Cricetulus griseus: one gene and its partners. The protein of the gene in region 1 purifies or fractionates together with the protein of each later gene. This does not show direct contact. Links are inferred from orthologs where the notes say so. Each region holds a gene or a part of one and is shown on either strand. Other genes may lie near its edges.

Region 1 (5,101 bases):
TATATAACATGTGAAAGTCAAGTACAACTGTTGCATATTCAAATTAACTATCTCTGTCTTCCTAGAAAAGGCCTATTATTTAACATTAACCACATTTGAATTTTAAATGCAATTTGTTTCAAAACAACAACAACAACAAAAAGAAAACAGTCTTTGATCAGATAAAGAAAAAAAAGGCTTCCAGAAAAGCATACAACTTTGCACAAGGCAGTAGACAAGCCTCTCCTTTCAGAAGAATGAGTCTGTATGACATAATGATTAAATCCATAAAGTACTGTGTGTATCTGGAGTGCCATTTACTTTTTAAAATAAACTCAGAAAACATATCTCAACTGCAAAGCTCCAAAGCTCGATGTGGGGTGTTCCCACATGACCAGTGACTGCTTATTGATGCTACTGCATTGCCTCAGTGGTTCAAGCACATTTGGGTAGGAGAAAGATAAATACTGAGTGACATCTACCACACAAACTCTTAAAAAAACAAAAATGACCCAGAAAAGATTTAGGTTACTCAAAAAAATAAACTTTTTGGATGAAAATGATACAGGACTTAACACAGACTTTAAGCAGTTCTGTTCATTTCCATTTAGAAAGAGGCAAAAGTGGCACTTACTGGTGTAGCACAACCCCACTTTGAAGGCATGTTGTGTTCCGAGTGTGAAGGAGCAGGAGCCATACATAAATACAACTGCATCAATTGTGCCCCTCACGCCTACATGAGGTCATTTTTTTAGACTATAGAGTTTTAGGTGTTAGGTTAAGATCCTGAAAAACTATAAAACAGTACATTCAAAGTGAATCAAGGAAACTAGTGGTTCAGAGTCCTCTGAGAATGTACTAATCAGGAGTGAAAATCACAAGTGCTTCTTCATCTAAGCTGACAGACACTCCAGCTCCTTCACCTCACGGATGACCATCAGCACAGCAGCTCCCTAAAGGGCCAGCAGTCATCTTCTAAAAACAAGCTTTGTTAATAAAAACAAAAGTAGACTAGACAACATTCTGTAACTGTCCTGGGAAGAAGCATCCATAGTGCACGCAAAGGATCCCTGTGGCTGCCTCTGGGCCCAGAGGAACCCTGGGAAGCTCTCAATTAACCACATTCCACTGCAGCACGAGGAAGCAGCATCCTCCGTTCGTTCTCAGTGAGGTAGAACAACCGGCCTCCCAAACACACCCAGGAGCAGATATGAAGAGAGCAGAGTTCCCTCGAAGCTTCGGTTACATTTTGATGCCTTCCTGTTGGCTGAGCTGTGACAATGTTTTTTTAATTCGCAAAGCTGTCAGCCTAGCTGCTCCATTGGCATACCAACATTCTCTCATAATTTTAGCCATCACTCTCAAGGCCTACAAGAAAATATAAGAAAAATAATTAATACATACATACCATTTGCCATTAATCTAGGAAGAACATCCCTCTAAGACTTTGTAAAAAAAAAAAATATGTATAAGGTTCCTATTCTAGCTTTGTAGTAGCAAATGCAGATTTAAGGTTCCATCAATATCCAGATGCCAGCAGCTGGAAAGGCTTTGGACAGGGGAGCTTTCTTAGATCTCAAAAGGCTGAATCCTGAATCAGCACTGAGCCAAAGAAATGACCCACACTGCTACCTTAGACACTGGGTGAGAACTTAACTCATTTTTAAGTACTTTAGAGACAACTGAGGGTGGAAAGTAGGAAGAAGTACTGGAACCCCAGCACTTGTCCACTCCAACATTTCACAGCTAGGAGTCCGTTAGCCACCATCCCAGCACAAGGCTTGAGGGTTTTTATCCAAGAAAGACTATCTCTATCACTATATTACCAAGGCTGGCTCTATAGCCCAGGCAAGACTTGAACTTGTGACCTTCCTGCTGGCTTCCTGATCAGCTAGGATTAGAGGCCTATGCCAGCAAGCTTAGCCAGTTCCATACTCTTACATGTTTCAATGAAGGCTTTTATAATTTATTTTTATTTTATATTCATTGGTGTTTTGCCTGCAAGTATGTCTTTATGTGGGAATTAGATCCCCTGGAAGAGGAGTTACAGACAGCTGTGAGCTGCCCTGTTGGTGCTGGGAACAGAACCCCAGTCTTCTGGGAGAGCAGCCAGTGCTCTTAACCGCTTAGTCATTTGAAATAGCAATAAGTACACAGAAAACTAGTAACCATATTGAGAAAATAACATACAATGATGGCATTAATCAGCATACTGTAATGGTAACTGTGCACTGTACATGTTCTTAATGTTAACCAATTTCTTCCTGCCTAAAGGCCATCTGTCTTTAACTGCTTCAGTTATTAAATATGTGTGTGTGTGTGTGTGTGTGTGTGTGTGTGTGTGTGTGTGTGTGTGTGTGTGTGTGTACTTCAAGTCCGAGTTCTCAAGTACCCAGAGATAATTTTACCCAAAGCACACCCTCATCTGTCAAGTTCTATCACATGAAGATCCTGAACACACTCAGCTTGCTCCTCTCTGGGTCTACACATTACATTTTGCTTGAGGTGTCGTACAAATTTTTTTTTTTACTCTAAGAAAATCTTAAGGAAAAGGAAAGCAGCCTTTCTCTTTAGGCTTGCTTTCCCCATGCATTAACATTTGGGCATGTGTCCTACCTGGACATTTTTTCTAGGAATGTTTATGTTTGGTATTTTTCCAACAATAAACAGTAGAACTTTGTAGAAATTACAAAAGTACGTGAGGGACTTCTAAAATCACAAAATACCACCGTGGTATAATTCCTTGGGGCCCCATGAAGAGCTCTAACATTGTTGCTATTTTGAGACAGGGTTTCATGAAGCCCAGGTTGGCCAGAAGCTGGCTGAAGTTAAGTTCGAATTCCTGTTCTTCCTGCTTTTACCTCTGGAATACTGGACTAAAAGACCTGTGTACCACTACCCTGCCTTAAAGTGGTATTGGGGAGCAATCCCTGGACCTCAGGTATGCCAATCTTGCACTCTACCAACTCAGTCACACCTGAGGGAGCACACTGATGTCAGTGGAGAACTTCTGAGGTGTCCAACTCTTCTTTCTTTTTCTGAAAGTTCATCTACAAAACATCAAGTCTGGAAGGCACATCCTGCTGCACTATCATCCTAGTAACAGCTGTCAATAGAACCTGTACCCAGACTGTTGGAAAGTACCCCCTCCCTCCCTCCTGAGGAGTAGTCCTACTGAATCCTAGGAATACAGGTCATACATCTGAAGCTCTGCAAGACCGTACTGAAGCTCCTCACCTTACAAAGGGTGCTAAGCTCCAGAGAACTGATGCAGCCTGCCCACATCTGAGTCTGAAAGGACCCAAGCCTGCATTGACAGTCCTCTACATTCTTGCCCAGTGTTTGTCATAGTGCTTGGGCTACATTGGCTAAAGGGAGGCATTCATTTCAACAGCAGGCACTTGACTTCATATGGCAGATCTAACAATGTCCAGACACCACTGACCACTGCAAATGTTTCATGGCCCTTTTTATAGTCTCAAGAAACAAATTATTCTATTTTTACTTATTTGTTTATGAAAAAGAAAAAGAAACCAAGAATTTTTCCTTATAGAAGAGTGACAAATTTCTGCCTCCTAAGTAGAAACAGTTTAGTAAATAGCCTAGTATCAAAAGGAAACACTCACTTCACAGCTCTGCCATCTGTTGGGAATATTTGGCCTTAACTTCTGTTCACAAACTACTTTTCTCATTTCTTCAACTGATGGATCAGAAGGTACAAGATCATAATAAGGCAGCTGATAGTCTTCATGAATTCCTGTATTGGTTAAAACAAAATCCAAATTAATCAGCTCCTGCCACATCACTGGAAGGATTACTTGAGAGGCTCATTACTGTGGCCCATCTCTACATCCAGTAGGTGAAGTGAGGTTCACAAATTTATGTATCTCACCCACATCTGCATCAATAACCCACCTACTTGAGTCATCACTGGGCTTGCAATTTTTGTGAAGGATAGTGTTGTCAACTTGACAAAATCTACCAATCACCTGGAAGACAGACCCGTGGGCATGCCTGTGAGGGATTATTTTGATTGGGAGGACACATCTTAACTATGGGCAGTACTACTTCATAGGCAAGGGATCCTGGAGTGTATAAATAGAGAAAGCAAGCCGAGCACCAGCATGCACTCACTGCTCTCTGCTGCTTGACTGTGGATGTCATGTGACCAGCTCCCTCAAGCTTCTGCCACTGTGACTTCCCTCTATGGTAGCTGTAACTTGGAACCACGGGCCCTTCCTCCCTTAGAATGCCTTTGCCGGAGCATTGTACTACAGCAATGGAAAAGAAATCAAGGCCATTTTGAACCTAGTGTGCTGTGATAACCAGGCTGACACTCTTGACTACAACTCCACCAGACAGAAGATGCGGATATACTCTTATTAGGAGATGTGAATCCCACAAGTCCCTTCCTCTGCTTGTGCCTGTTAATCTGATGTCCTATGCTATAACACCAAGCATACTCTATACATCACTGTCTCAAACTTTCAAGTTCTAAGTCTCACACAGATTCCTAAGCCTAAGAGACAGTGTCTGAGCAAACACTGACAAGTTCTCAGTCTAATATAAAACCAAAAGTTAAAACAAAATCTACAAAGTACGCAACATTAATAATGCAATTGTCATTATATGTCTAAGGATCCTCAACAATCAAGCTGGAGAAAACAACCAGTGTTAAAAAAAAAAAAAAAAAAGATGTAGCTGAGTCCATACTAAAAGCAATTTCTCAGGTGGCCTTTCAAACAACTAAATCCAAAATAACAAGAAGCTAGGTTCTGACACTCTCTGAGACTAAATAGCAACAGAACATGACTCTGGATAAAAGCTGTGTGTTGGTGAGGTTTATCTTTTGTTCCTGTGACATTCTCAGTGGTCACCTGTCAGACTGCTGACAGTAAAATTTCAGTCAAGAGAAAAGAAAACTCTTGACTAATTTCTCATGACAGATAACTGGGGAAAGGAGAGCGATTTACCACCAATGGAACAGCGCCGAGCAATTTCCCAGAACACTAAGCCCATTGCATAGATGTCAGCACGTTTGAAGGATTCAAAGTGTTTCATGTTTATGGAATCATCTAGGACTTCAGGGGCCATGTACCTAAAAAAGAAGCCAGCATTTCAG
Region 2 (5,570 bases), on another chromosome or scaffold:
CCAGAGGTTAATATCAGGTGCTGTTCCTCAGGAGCCATCCACTTATTTTTTGAGACCGGGCCTTTCACCTATTGAGGCTCCAGCTACCACTGCCAGCCACATTCAATTTTTCAGTGGGTGCTGGGGGTCCAGCTCAAGTCCTATGCTTGCCAGTCAAGCACTTTCCTGACTGAGCCATCTCCCCAGTCCCAATAGCTCTCATTTTTAAAAAGTCATTTTCCCAAAATACAAATACATAATAAATGCTGAAACACCATAACAATATTTAACTTTAGAGAGATTGCTACCCACCATTCTCATTTCCTGTAACAGTATAAAGATGAAGGCAAAACCTACCTCATCTTCAATAAAATGGCTGGCTCCAAGATTTTCACACAGTTGTCACCACATATTGCCACCAACTCCCAATCCTATGAGCACACTCAGAGCTTCTTTCAGACCAATTGATGACACCCATCCCTGGTCCTTCCCATCAAAGGCCACCCAAAAACTCTGGAGCCTCCTCAGTCTTCAACACCAAAATCAGACCGGGAAAGCCTCCCTTTCCTGGTTCTCTAGGATCTGTTAATAGACAGCTGACACAAACGCCACTGATCTCATTTCGACTAAAACTCCCCAAGTCCATCAATTTAACAGGAAGGCTGAAACCAATGTGGATTATCACTAAAATCAGGGCCCAGTGCCAGTGAGCAAACTTTCACAAGGATGACTGGCAAAGAATCTAACTTTCTAAAGTAACAGCCAACACAGTGTCATACACTACATTCACCCAGTGAGAGTTCTCTCCAGTCACCTGCTGTTTGTCCAGGGGCAAAGATGTCCAACAAGACCAGGGTCTGGGTTCTAGTTCAAAAATCATTATCTGACCTGACATCACCAGAGAAAAAAATGTCAATCTTTTCTTAAACAGAACACTCATCGGCTACAAACTTTCCAAGAATTTCCACCGTGGCAGGGAAGATACCACCATGATCACAGCCCTTACCCAAAGGCTCAGTCCAAAAGGACAAGCAGAGAGCCTTAGTTCTGACCACACTGCCTCAGAACAGAAAAATCCAGGGAAATCCCTGAAAGGCCTTAGACTTAGTGTTTATTTCCTTTTCTGAGCTAGAAAGCCCCAGAGCAGGCCCTATGCCAGCCCTGCCATGCAGCTTTAGAGATGGATTCAAACTGGTAAGGTCTCTGCAGGAAAAGGAGAGGGAGAAAGGAAGAGGAAACCAGGGGCAGTGGTCCAGACTCTGGACCCATGAAGTGGGGCAGCTATGACAGAGAGCTCGCCTCTCCCTCTATGCAAACAATACTGTTGCTGTCAGACCCAGAGCAAGCTTTGCGCTCACCCTTGAAGGTGGCACTACAGAGCACCTAGGAAACCTGAAAATTCCTCTGAAGACTCGGAGTGGAACAAGGAACCTGTGCTGGAGCAGCTGCCACAGCTCAGCTTGTGTGGGAGTGGGGGATCGCGCCACAACAGGGACTCAAGCATGTGGCACTGAGGGGGATGTTGGCGAAGGCACTGCAGAGGAGGTAGGAACCGAAGACCGGGACTCTGCAGTGCTAAGTGGCCAGGCCTCAGGGAGAACGGAAGTGGACTAGACTGGAGAGGTCTGGACCATTGAAGAGGTGGGGGGGAGTGAGAACAAGTCTGGGAGACAGACGTTTGGTCCCAGACAGGCTTGAGGAATTTGCGACTCAAGGGTGGAGGCTGTAAGACAGAAGCGAGGGGGCGGGACTGAAAGATAATCGAGGGCGGGATCAGACAGAAACAAGGGGAGGGGCTTGGGCAGCGGAGGGGGCGGGGCCAAGAGGGGGGAAGGCCCCTAGAAAGATGGAGATGGGGAGGGAGTGAGGAGGTAGGAGAGCAAAGAGAGGATCAAAGCAGGCCAGTGGGGGGGGGGGGGGCGATTCTCGGGATACCAGGAGGGAGAAGTGAGAAGGTCAGAGAACACAGTGGTGAAGGAAGAAAGGAGGCGAAGAGATGAGAAGCTACAAGGGAAAAAGACAGCAGACAGGTGGGAGGGTAGTAAGGTGTGGGACTAGAGAGGGATAGCAGGTAGGAGGATGGTGAGTGAAGAAATGGATGATGAAAATCTGAGGTGAGGGTGGGAAGAGCAAAAGGTGCAGCGAGGGGGCGGGACCTACATGAAGTTGAAAGTGGGTGTGGAGCTGAGGGAGCCAGGCACAAGGCCTGGAGAAGAGCAGGGAGGGGCAGATGTGGGACAGAGGGTGCCTGGGGCAGGATATAGAGAGGGTCACAAGAGAGCCGGTGGGGGACCCCGAGGGGCGGGACCTCTATGCAGCTGAGGGTAGGGGTAGGGCAGAAAGGAGAGCTAGGGGATGGTCCTGGAGAGGGGAGCTAGGGGGCGGGACCTGAAGCAGAGGGGTAAGGTTAGGGGCAGAGGGAGGCAGTTAGGGGGCGGGGCCCATATGCAAATGACGGTAGGTGTGGGCAGAGTGTGAACGGTGAGGGGAGGACCTGATAAAGAGGGAGGAGCCGGAGGCAGTACCTACCGAGGATCAGCGGGGGTTGGGGGTGGAGCCCGACAGAAGGATGAACAGCAAGTAGGGCTTGAAGCAGAAAAAACCAACTGCAGAGAAATTAGCAGGCGGGGAATAATGCAGAGGGAGGAGCCAGAGGGCGGGGCACCAAGGCTACAAAGTAAAGAGGTGGAGCCTGTGGGGGGAGGGGGCGGGAGTCTGCAGAACAGTCGAGGGCTGAACCTGGTTACGAAAGGGGGAGGATCTGCGGATCAATAGGGGCGGGGCTAGATGCAAGAGGGCGGGGCTGCCGCAGCGGGCGGGGCCTGATGGCCGGGGGTGGGGCCTGATGCAGAGGGAGGGTACTGGGCGGCGGGGGCGGCGCCTGCAGAGCAGCCGGGGGGGCGGGGCCGGGAAAGGGAGCGAGGGGCGCACGCCGTGGGGGGTGCGGCGGTCCCGGGACAACGGCCGGTGCGGCGGGGTGGGAGTCCTCGAGGTCCCTGGGACCGCCTGGGGGCGCGAGGGCCGCGGCCCTGTAGTGCCTACCTGTCAGACGGATCTTGATGCTAGAGCCGTTCCTACGCGTCCCGGGGTTCGACATCTCCCGCCAGCGGCCGGCCGGCCTTGGATCCAGCGCCGCCGCCCCCAGCCGGCCCGGCCCGGCCCCGCCGCCGCCTCAAGGTTACGGCCACGGGCTGGGGTGCCGGGGTCCGAGCCGGGACGCCGAGTGAGCGGCGCAGGCGTCGGACGGGAGCCGCGGGCTGGAGCCGCAGGACGGAGCGCTCGGCTGCGCCGCCGCCCGGAGCCGCCCCTGGCCGCCAGCCCGGAGCCGCCGCGCTCGCAGCCGGACGCCCGCCGCCCTCGCTGCTTCCGCCGCCGCCTCCCGAGCTGCGCGCGCCCGTCGCCGTGCCGGCCCGGCCCTGCGCGGCCCCGCGCTTGCGTGCGTGCATGCGTGCGCGCGCCCGAGGAGCACGGCGCTACGCCGACAGCGTTCGTCCTGGGCGCGCACGCGAAGGTTCAGGGAGCTACTAGGTTTCTGCAGCCCGTGGAGATTCTTGAAACAGACATCCCGCTCGCGGAGCACTTCTTAGCCACAATCTCGGAACGAACTGATTTGCTTGTGCAACGATTTGGGAAATCGAATTATTTTTCTAGAGTCGGACTTTTTCCTGATGGAAGCCAGAGGATTGTGTGAAACCCCAAGCACCTTGCGCGCGTGCGCCCACGGGCACGCGATATCATTTTTGAGAAAATAACGTTTAGATCCTGCAAGTTCCAAGAGAGGACTTTCCACAATGATCGGGTGTGCCCTGTGCAACTGGTGTATTCGATTGACAAAGTGGCTAGACCCTCAGGAAGTGAGGCATATGGACCAGCTAAACTAGATGAGTGATGTAAACTGGAGAGGTGTGTGGTTTTGTGGTTAGGGACCTGCATGCAATTAAACTAACCTAGGAAGGTAAGCAGTGGGATTTGCGATTCCCTGCCTTCGGGTGAAACACACACACCCCGCGCGCGTGTGCGCCCCTAGAGAGGCAGGCAGGTAAAAAAGTAAAAGCTGTGTTTTCCCCAGCAAGCAAACCCATCTCTATGGTAACACATTCTAGAGAGGAAATAAAACGTTCTTGAAAAGGCTGGGTATGTTTACCTAACTCACATCTGATATGAACCTAATTCTTTTCATAGACAGAGTTTATGTGGCTTCCTTAGCCCTGTTACCCACAGCACTTAGCCACCCTCTTTGGAGACAGAGGCTCATTTTTAGACCAAGCTGGCCTCGAACTTGTGATCCTCCTGCCTCAGCTTCCTGATTACCAGCCTGTACCACAACCCACCTGGCCTTACCCTAGTGGTTTGTTTTGTTTCTATGACCCTGTGCAGCCCAGAGTTTCAAATAGCTGTAGTGAATTGTCTAAGAAAAGGAACAGTATATGAGCAACAGTTAATCCAGACGCTAGCTCTGTCTCATTTTCTAGGCAGCTGTCATTGAGATTGAGACCCTAGGTCAGAATAAATCCATTTAAGAGTCTTTGATGAGGGTTGGTATGATAGCTCCATTGATAAAGTGTTTGTTGTGCAAGCATGAAAAACTGAGTCTTGTGGGGGTTTTAGATATTTTTTAATCTACATATGAGTGTTTTGCATGTGTGTTTATATGTACATCAGAGGGTGCTGGATCTGAAACGAGTGGTTGTGAACTACCATGTGAGGGTACTGGGAACTGAACTCAGGTCCTCTGGAAGAGCAACAAATACTCTTTTGTGTACATAATTTATTTAATTTTATTTTAGTGCATTAGTGTGAAGACTGTGTAATGGTGTCAAAGCCCCTGGAACAGTAGTCACAGACACTTGTGAGCTGCCATGTGGGTTCTGGGAATTGAATTCTGGGTCTTCTGGAACACCAGAAGGTACTCTAACCACTGAGCCATTTCTCCAGCCCCACAACAAGTGTTCTTAACTGTTCAGCATCTCCAGCCTCAAGGACAAGGTGTGCTGGTGAGTTTGAGTGATCCTAGCCATGGAGAGGGAAAGACAGTAGGATCTCTGGGGCTTATTGGCTAGCTAGCCTCAGTGAACGGGGGAGCCCCATGGCAGCACATGCCAGAGACTGTCTCAAGAAAAAAAGAAGGTGGGGGATCACACACACACACACACACACACACACAAAACAATGTGTGTCCAATGGCCCAAGTAACCCCCTTTCTTCTGGCAATCTGGTCAGTATTCTGCCATGTACCAGAATATTCATTCCCTCCTCATACCAATCTCTCTCTCTCTCTCTCTCTCTCTCTCTCTCTCTCTCTCTCTTTCTCTCTTTATCTCTCTCTCCTCCCCACAGGCCTCCCTCTTTCCCTCTCTGTGGCTCTCTCTCCCCTCCCAACCCCCTGCACCTCTCTTCTTGCCTGTTTGTCGTTCTGTCTCCAATTTTACCTTCTTCCTCTCTCCCCACCCCCAACTCTGTGCACTTCCCTCTTTTCGAAGTCACTCCCACCCCCACCTCCCACCCCCTGGCTCCCCACCCATCTCAGCTCACTGGTGTTTTGTCTTTTCTCTAGCTGTTCCTGACCCAGGAATCTTGGATTGTTCCACCTC
Region 3 (5,655 bases), on another chromosome or scaffold:
AAAATTTAAAATGATACTGAAAACTCAAAAGAATAAAAACTGGACACATTCTAAATTTGTGAAGAAATAATTCAGAAACTACAGGAAAGTTGGGCGTGCTAGTAAACACCTGTAATCCCAGCACTCAAGGAGGCTGGTGGGAAAGAGACTGGAGACAAACTGACTGACTGACTGACTGACTGAATAGAGGAAGAAAAGAAAGGAAAGAAGAGAAATCAGAGTACTAGAAGAAACAAGATTTAAAGCAAGAAACATCAGGACTGTCAAATGATTATTTTGTGTGCATATAGATGGAGGTCAGAGGTTGAAGTGAGGTATTTACCTCATTATCCACCTTATTTTTTGGTGGACATGGAGCACACTTATGTGGCTAGACTAGCTGACACCAGTAAGCCCTAGTATTTCTAGGGCTTAGTTCCCAGAACTAAGATTACAGGTTAGTGTGCTGTGCCTGTTTTTTGTTGTTGTTTTTTTTTTTTTTTTTTTTCCCCTAAAGTGCCAGGAATCCAAACTCTGATTATTATGCTGACATAGCAAGCACTTACCAACTTTAGCCTTCTCCTCAGCCCCAGATTATTATTCCTGGGACTAAATCTCATCAGCTTCAAATAGCTTTAAAATGTTTTTTATTTATTTGTTTGTGTATTGTGTGTCTGCATGAGTTTATGGCATCACATGCAATAGGTGTCCATGGAGGCCTAAAGAGTGTTGGATCCATGGGAGCTCAAGATACATGCAATCTTGGGCCACCAAATGTGGGTACTAGGAACTAGATTCAGGTCCTCAGGACTCACTAGTAACAGAAGAGCCATCCCTCCAGCCCCCAACTGATTTTTTTTTTAAGATTTTATTTATTTATTATGTATACAGTCTTCTGCCTGCATGCCATCATAGAGCACCAGATCTCATTCAAGGTGGTTGTGAGCCACCATGTGGTTGCTGGGAATTGAACTCAGGACCTCTTGAAAAGCAGTCAGTGCTCTTAACCGATAAGCCATCTCTCCAGCCCCCCCCAACTGATTTTTTGTAAGTGCTTTTTATATATACTGTTTAATGCTTTCAAAGCAACATCTTATATTTGTAACTCTGAAAGGGAGGATTATCAATATGTGATCTGAAAATGGTAATTTTATTCACTTGTATAAGTAAATTATTTTCATACTCTCTAGTCTTCATTGTACTGCTCTTGTTTCTTGAAAATCTACTTCAGAGATTAGAACCACAGCTCTCTGGCTTTTTCCATCTTCAGTACATTAATTATGGGAGAATTACTCCATAACCGTTCAAAGAATTCATGAATTTCAATATGACAAACTCCTGATTATGCAACTATTATTATGCAACCTTTGCCTAAGGAAGTATGTTTCTGAGGAATTTGTATATATGTTTTTAATCTATCATTTTTTGGTAACAGAACTATGTAAAATATAACCAAGACTGTTTAATTCTTGTTTTCTAAATGTTTCTCAAGAGAGACATTTACACACAATGTTAAGAGTGACATAGCAGGAGAGGGCCAATAGTTCAGACTTACTCCTATCCATCTTTAACATTTAGTAAACTTCTTATTGGAATAATATAAACAAAGGACACAGAAATGCTGATTGATTAAATTTTCACTAATTTTAATTAACACATTGCACTAGCTTCAGATATTATGCAATTATGTGCTAATTTTAATCAATGATAGCTACAAATGTAGCATATTAATACTATAGTACTACCACTGAAGTCCATTAGAGACAATGTCTCTAATGAGCCTAGAGCTGCATACAGATTAAATCTGCTATAGTACTTTGATAATGTTTAATATTCATCTCAAATTCCTCAAAGTGTTTCTATTCTTAAATCTGTACTTCCCAAAGTTGTTCTAGCTAGTCCATCTACCTCCTCTAAAGAAATAATAAGGTAACCAAATTAAGGAAAGTTGTATGATAGTTAATCGCCATTGTGAATTTTATTGGGTTTAGAGTTACCTAGGAGTAGGTGGGGCACACCTGTATATGTTTGTGAGATGGTTTCTAGAGAGGACTCATTAAGGAGAAAGATCAAACTAGATGTGGCTGGCATCAATCCATGAGCTTAGAACACTGGCGGTAAAAAAGAAAAGCCACCAAAATGCCCCGTCCCTGTGCTCTGCTTCCTGGCCCACCATGATGTGAGCTTCTCTGCTGTACTAAGTCCTCATACAATGTTGAGACTGACATCTCAGAAACCAAGAGCCAAAATAATCCTTCCTCCTTTAAGTTGCCCCTGCCCCAGCTATGATTTAAGTAACTAATAGAATAGTATGCTAATAATGTCTCTACATTTCACATGGATAGGGGTATAACCTTCTTGATATGCTTATAGAGAACAGAATAAACCAATTAATAATCAATTCTTTTTTACTGAGACAGTCTCACTGAGTTGCCTTGGCTGGCCTCTAACTCCTCATACAAACTAGGCTGGCCTCAAACTCAGAGATCTACCTGCCTCTGCCTCCTGAGTACTAACATTAAAGGCATGCGCCACAAGGCCTAGTTTCATTCTTTCATTTGACATTTCCTGAGTACTCACTTTATGCCAAGTACTATCATAGGTTCTGCAGATAAAGATACAACTCAATTATCATACCATAAATACCTTTTTTTTTTTGAGGGAGAAATTAGAATCCTTTTATGTAACCCTGCTGTGCTCAAAATCAAGATCTAGGGATTGGAGAAATGAACCAGCGGATAAGTGCACCTCTCTGGTCCTGCAGAGCACCAGAATTCAGTTCCCAGCATCATCCACAAGGTGCCTCATAACTACTTGAACTCCAGTTCCAGGAAATCTGATGCTCTTTTCTGACCTCTCTAGGCTTTCTACATATACACACTATACATACATACCTACACACACACACACACACACACACACACACACACACACACACACACTCAACACATGCACACATATACATAAAGTAAAATAAATATTTTTTTTATAAACCAAGATCCAGGTTTTTATAAACCTGCTTCAAATTCCTGAGTGCTGGGATCATAGGAATAGGCCACTACATTGGCTACAAATGTCTTCTGTTATTTTTGCAAGAAATGTTTTTAAATTTTTTCCAAAAATAACAACAAAAATCTTTTTATATGTATTTGAAGTAGTAACTGGAAAAAACACTTGTGGAAGGGCGGCTACCACACTGTGGGTTAAGTCACTAGTTTCTTTTTTTATTAGAAAGAAGTTGCCTACCTGCAACAAGCATCTGTAATAGTATCAGTGCAATGCCCAGCGGTAGTAACAGAATGGTAACAGAATGGAATGCCCTGCTGTTCTCGTAAGTTGTACTCATAATGAATGGTTGTCTGTGCTTAATTTCAATAAAGCTCCCAACTGCTCATTATATCCTTGCCAAAAATTCCCCTTCCTCCTCCAGACTGCAGTTGCATTCCAATTACAATGCACACTGGAATGAAGCTGTTCAAAGGGGGTAGAGGGAGATAGTCAGATATCCTTCTTTTCTTTGCTCCCAAACAAACAAACTTTCACAATACTGTTCCTGTAACTCAAAAGTTACAGAGAATATTTTAGCCAACATATTTTTCTGCACGTTCTTCAAACTTACGTTGGCACTGTAAAAAGTTAACATGGAAGTCCAGTTTAACACCTCTAAATGAAATCCCAACAAGCTGGCCCAGGCTCCAAAAAATATGCTTCTGTGCACCATTCCTTACCACTGACACATGACAGCAGCAGTTTAGAATTGCCACATGTTATTACAGGAGCTTAGACTATAGCTCTATTGACAGAAGCCTGTGTAGCACATTCAGGGCCCTGGATTCCATCCCCAGCACCACATAAACGAGGTGCGGTAGTATATGTCTATCCACAGAACTAGAGAGACCAAGACTGAAGGAACTGAAGTTTAAGTCTACATAAAAAGTTTGGGGTAACATGGTCTACATAAGGCCCTATCTCTAAAAAAAGAAAAAGATAATATAGGACTTTGTAATAAGCAAAAGTATCAAATACAAATCTAAACACATACATACATTTTGGAGAACTACTTGAAAGTATTTCACTACACATAATTTCTTAGATTTATTCATTTTCATTATGTGTATATGTGCTATACATGTGTGCATGCAAGTGCATGCAGAGTTATAGAAGAGGGCATTGGATTCTGCTGGAGATGAAGTTACACGTCCTTTTGAGTCTCCCAGTTTGGACCACACTGGAGTCCTTGAAAAGAGCATCAAGTGCTCTTAACCACTGAATCACCTCTCCAGCCACTCAGCTATGAATTTCAAACCAGTTTATTTTGTTGGTGGTGGTTTTATGTTTTGTTTTGTTTTGTTTTTTTAAGACAGGGTTTCTCTGTGTGGCCCTGGCTGTCCTGGAACTCACTTTGTAGACCAGGTTGACCTGAAACTCACAGAGAGCTGCCTGCCTCTGCATCCAGAGTGCTGGCATTAAAGGCATGAGCCATTACCACCCAGCTTTAAATCATTATTTCTATGAATTATTTTCTCCAACTTAAAAATGAAAATATATATGTACACTGTTTTAGTTACATCAATTCCCTTGTATTCTGTGTAGGGGCCAAACACTGTTCTATCAGTTACTATTTGTGCTGGCTAGTTTTATATAAACTTGCCACAAGCTAAAGTCATCACAGAGTAGGAACCTCAATTAAGAAACTGCCTTCAACTGGGAGCACACCTTTAATTCCAGCACTCAGGAGGCAGCCTGGTCTACAAAGCAAGTTCCAGGACAGCCAGAATTATAGAGAATAACCCTGTTTTGAAAGGGGGTGGGAGAAAAGGGAGAGGGGAAAGAGGGGGGAGGGAGGGAAAGAAAAGCAAAAAAAAAAAAAAAAAAAAAGCCTCCAGAAGAGAGGGCTGCAGGCAAGCTTGTAAGGTATTTTCTTAATTCGTGATTGATGGGGGAGGGCACAATCCATTGTGGGTGGGACCACCCCCGGGCTGGTGGTCATGAGGAGCAAGCCAGTAAGCAGCATCCTTCCAAGGCCTCTGCATCATTTCCTGCCTCCATGTCCCTGCCCTCGCTTGAGTTCCTGTCCTGACTTCCTTTGATGATGAATTAAGATGTGGAAGCATATGACAAATAAACCCTTTTCTCCCCAAGTTGCTTTGGTCATGGTGTTTCATCACAGCAACCGTAACCCTAAGACACTATTCCAAACTCAACCACTTCCTCTGCTAGAAGTCTTCCTTCAAACAGACCTACTCATAAATGATGGCTGTCCCAGAGGTTGGAAAAGCATACTTAGGGGTTGGGAGAGGACAGTTCAGTGGCTAAGAACACTGGCTGTTCTTCCAGAGAACCTGGATTTAGTTCCTAGCACTAACATGGCAGCTAACTCCAATTCCAGAAAGCCTGACACCCTCCTTTGGCATCCTCAGGCACTGGGCACACATATGGTACACAGACATATGCAGACAAAATACATACATAGAATAAAAATAAATAAATAAATAAATCTAAAACTGTTTTGACAATGTCAGAACTGCATTTGAGACTGGTGCTACCATTTATTAGTGTGTAATCCGAAACACTATTTAATGAAGCTACGCCCTGAGACTTCATCTGAAAATAAGACTTCTATAAGTTACCTCATAGTGTTTTGAAGACTAAACAAACTAAACTACACAAAACAAT

What was found. The genes of interacting proteins can lie anywhere in the genome.
Region 2: the proteins of Tgfbr1 (region 1) and Smurf1 purify together in Homo sapiens (affinity purification with western blotting; 3 studies listed by BioGRID). This does not show direct contact. The link is inferred for Cricetulus griseus from reciprocal best matches to the Homo sapiens genes TGFBR1 and SMURF1.
Region 3: the proteins of Tgfbr1 (region 1) and Smurf2 purify together in Homo sapiens (affinity purification with western blotting; 8 studies listed by BioGRID). This does not show direct contact. The link is inferred for Cricetulus griseus from reciprocal best matches to the Homo sapiens genes TGFBR1 and SMURF2.

What each region holds. Positions count from the first base shown.
Region 1 is NC_048595.1:96,010,335-96,015,435, forward strand, and holds part of Tgfbr1 (TGF-beta receptor type-1), read right to left. Parts: intron 5,078-5,101; coding exon 4,953-5,077; intron 3,737-4,952; coding exon 3,606-3,736; intron 1,348-3,605; coding exon 1,222-1,347; 3' UTR 1-1,221. UniProt on the Homo sapiens protein: Transmembrane serine/threonine kinase forming with the TGF-beta type II serine/threonine kinase receptor, TGFBR2, the non-promiscuous receptor for the TGF-beta cytokines TGFB1, TGFB2 and TGFB3.
Region 2 is NC_048597.1:81,372,785-81,378,354, forward strand, and holds the start of Smurf1 (E3 ubiquitin-protein ligase SMURF1), read right to left. Parts: upstream 3,341-5,570; 5' UTR 3,077-3,340; coding exon 3,022-3,076; intron 1-3,021. UniProt on the Homo sapiens protein: E3 ubiquitin-protein ligase that acts as a negative regulator of BMP signaling pathway. Mediates ubiquitination and degradation of SMAD1 and SMAD5, 2 receptor-regulated SMADs specific for the BMP pathway.
Region 3 is NC_048600.1:119,827,017-119,832,671, forward strand, and holds the start of Smurf2 (E3 ubiquitin-protein ligase SMURF2), read right to left. Parts: upstream 3,341-5,655; 5' UTR 3,326-3,340; coding exon 3,226-3,325; intron 1-3,225. UniProt on the Homo sapiens protein: E3 ubiquitin-protein ligase which accepts ubiquitin from an E2 ubiquitin-conjugating enzyme in the form of a thioester and then directly transfers the ubiquitin to targeted substrates.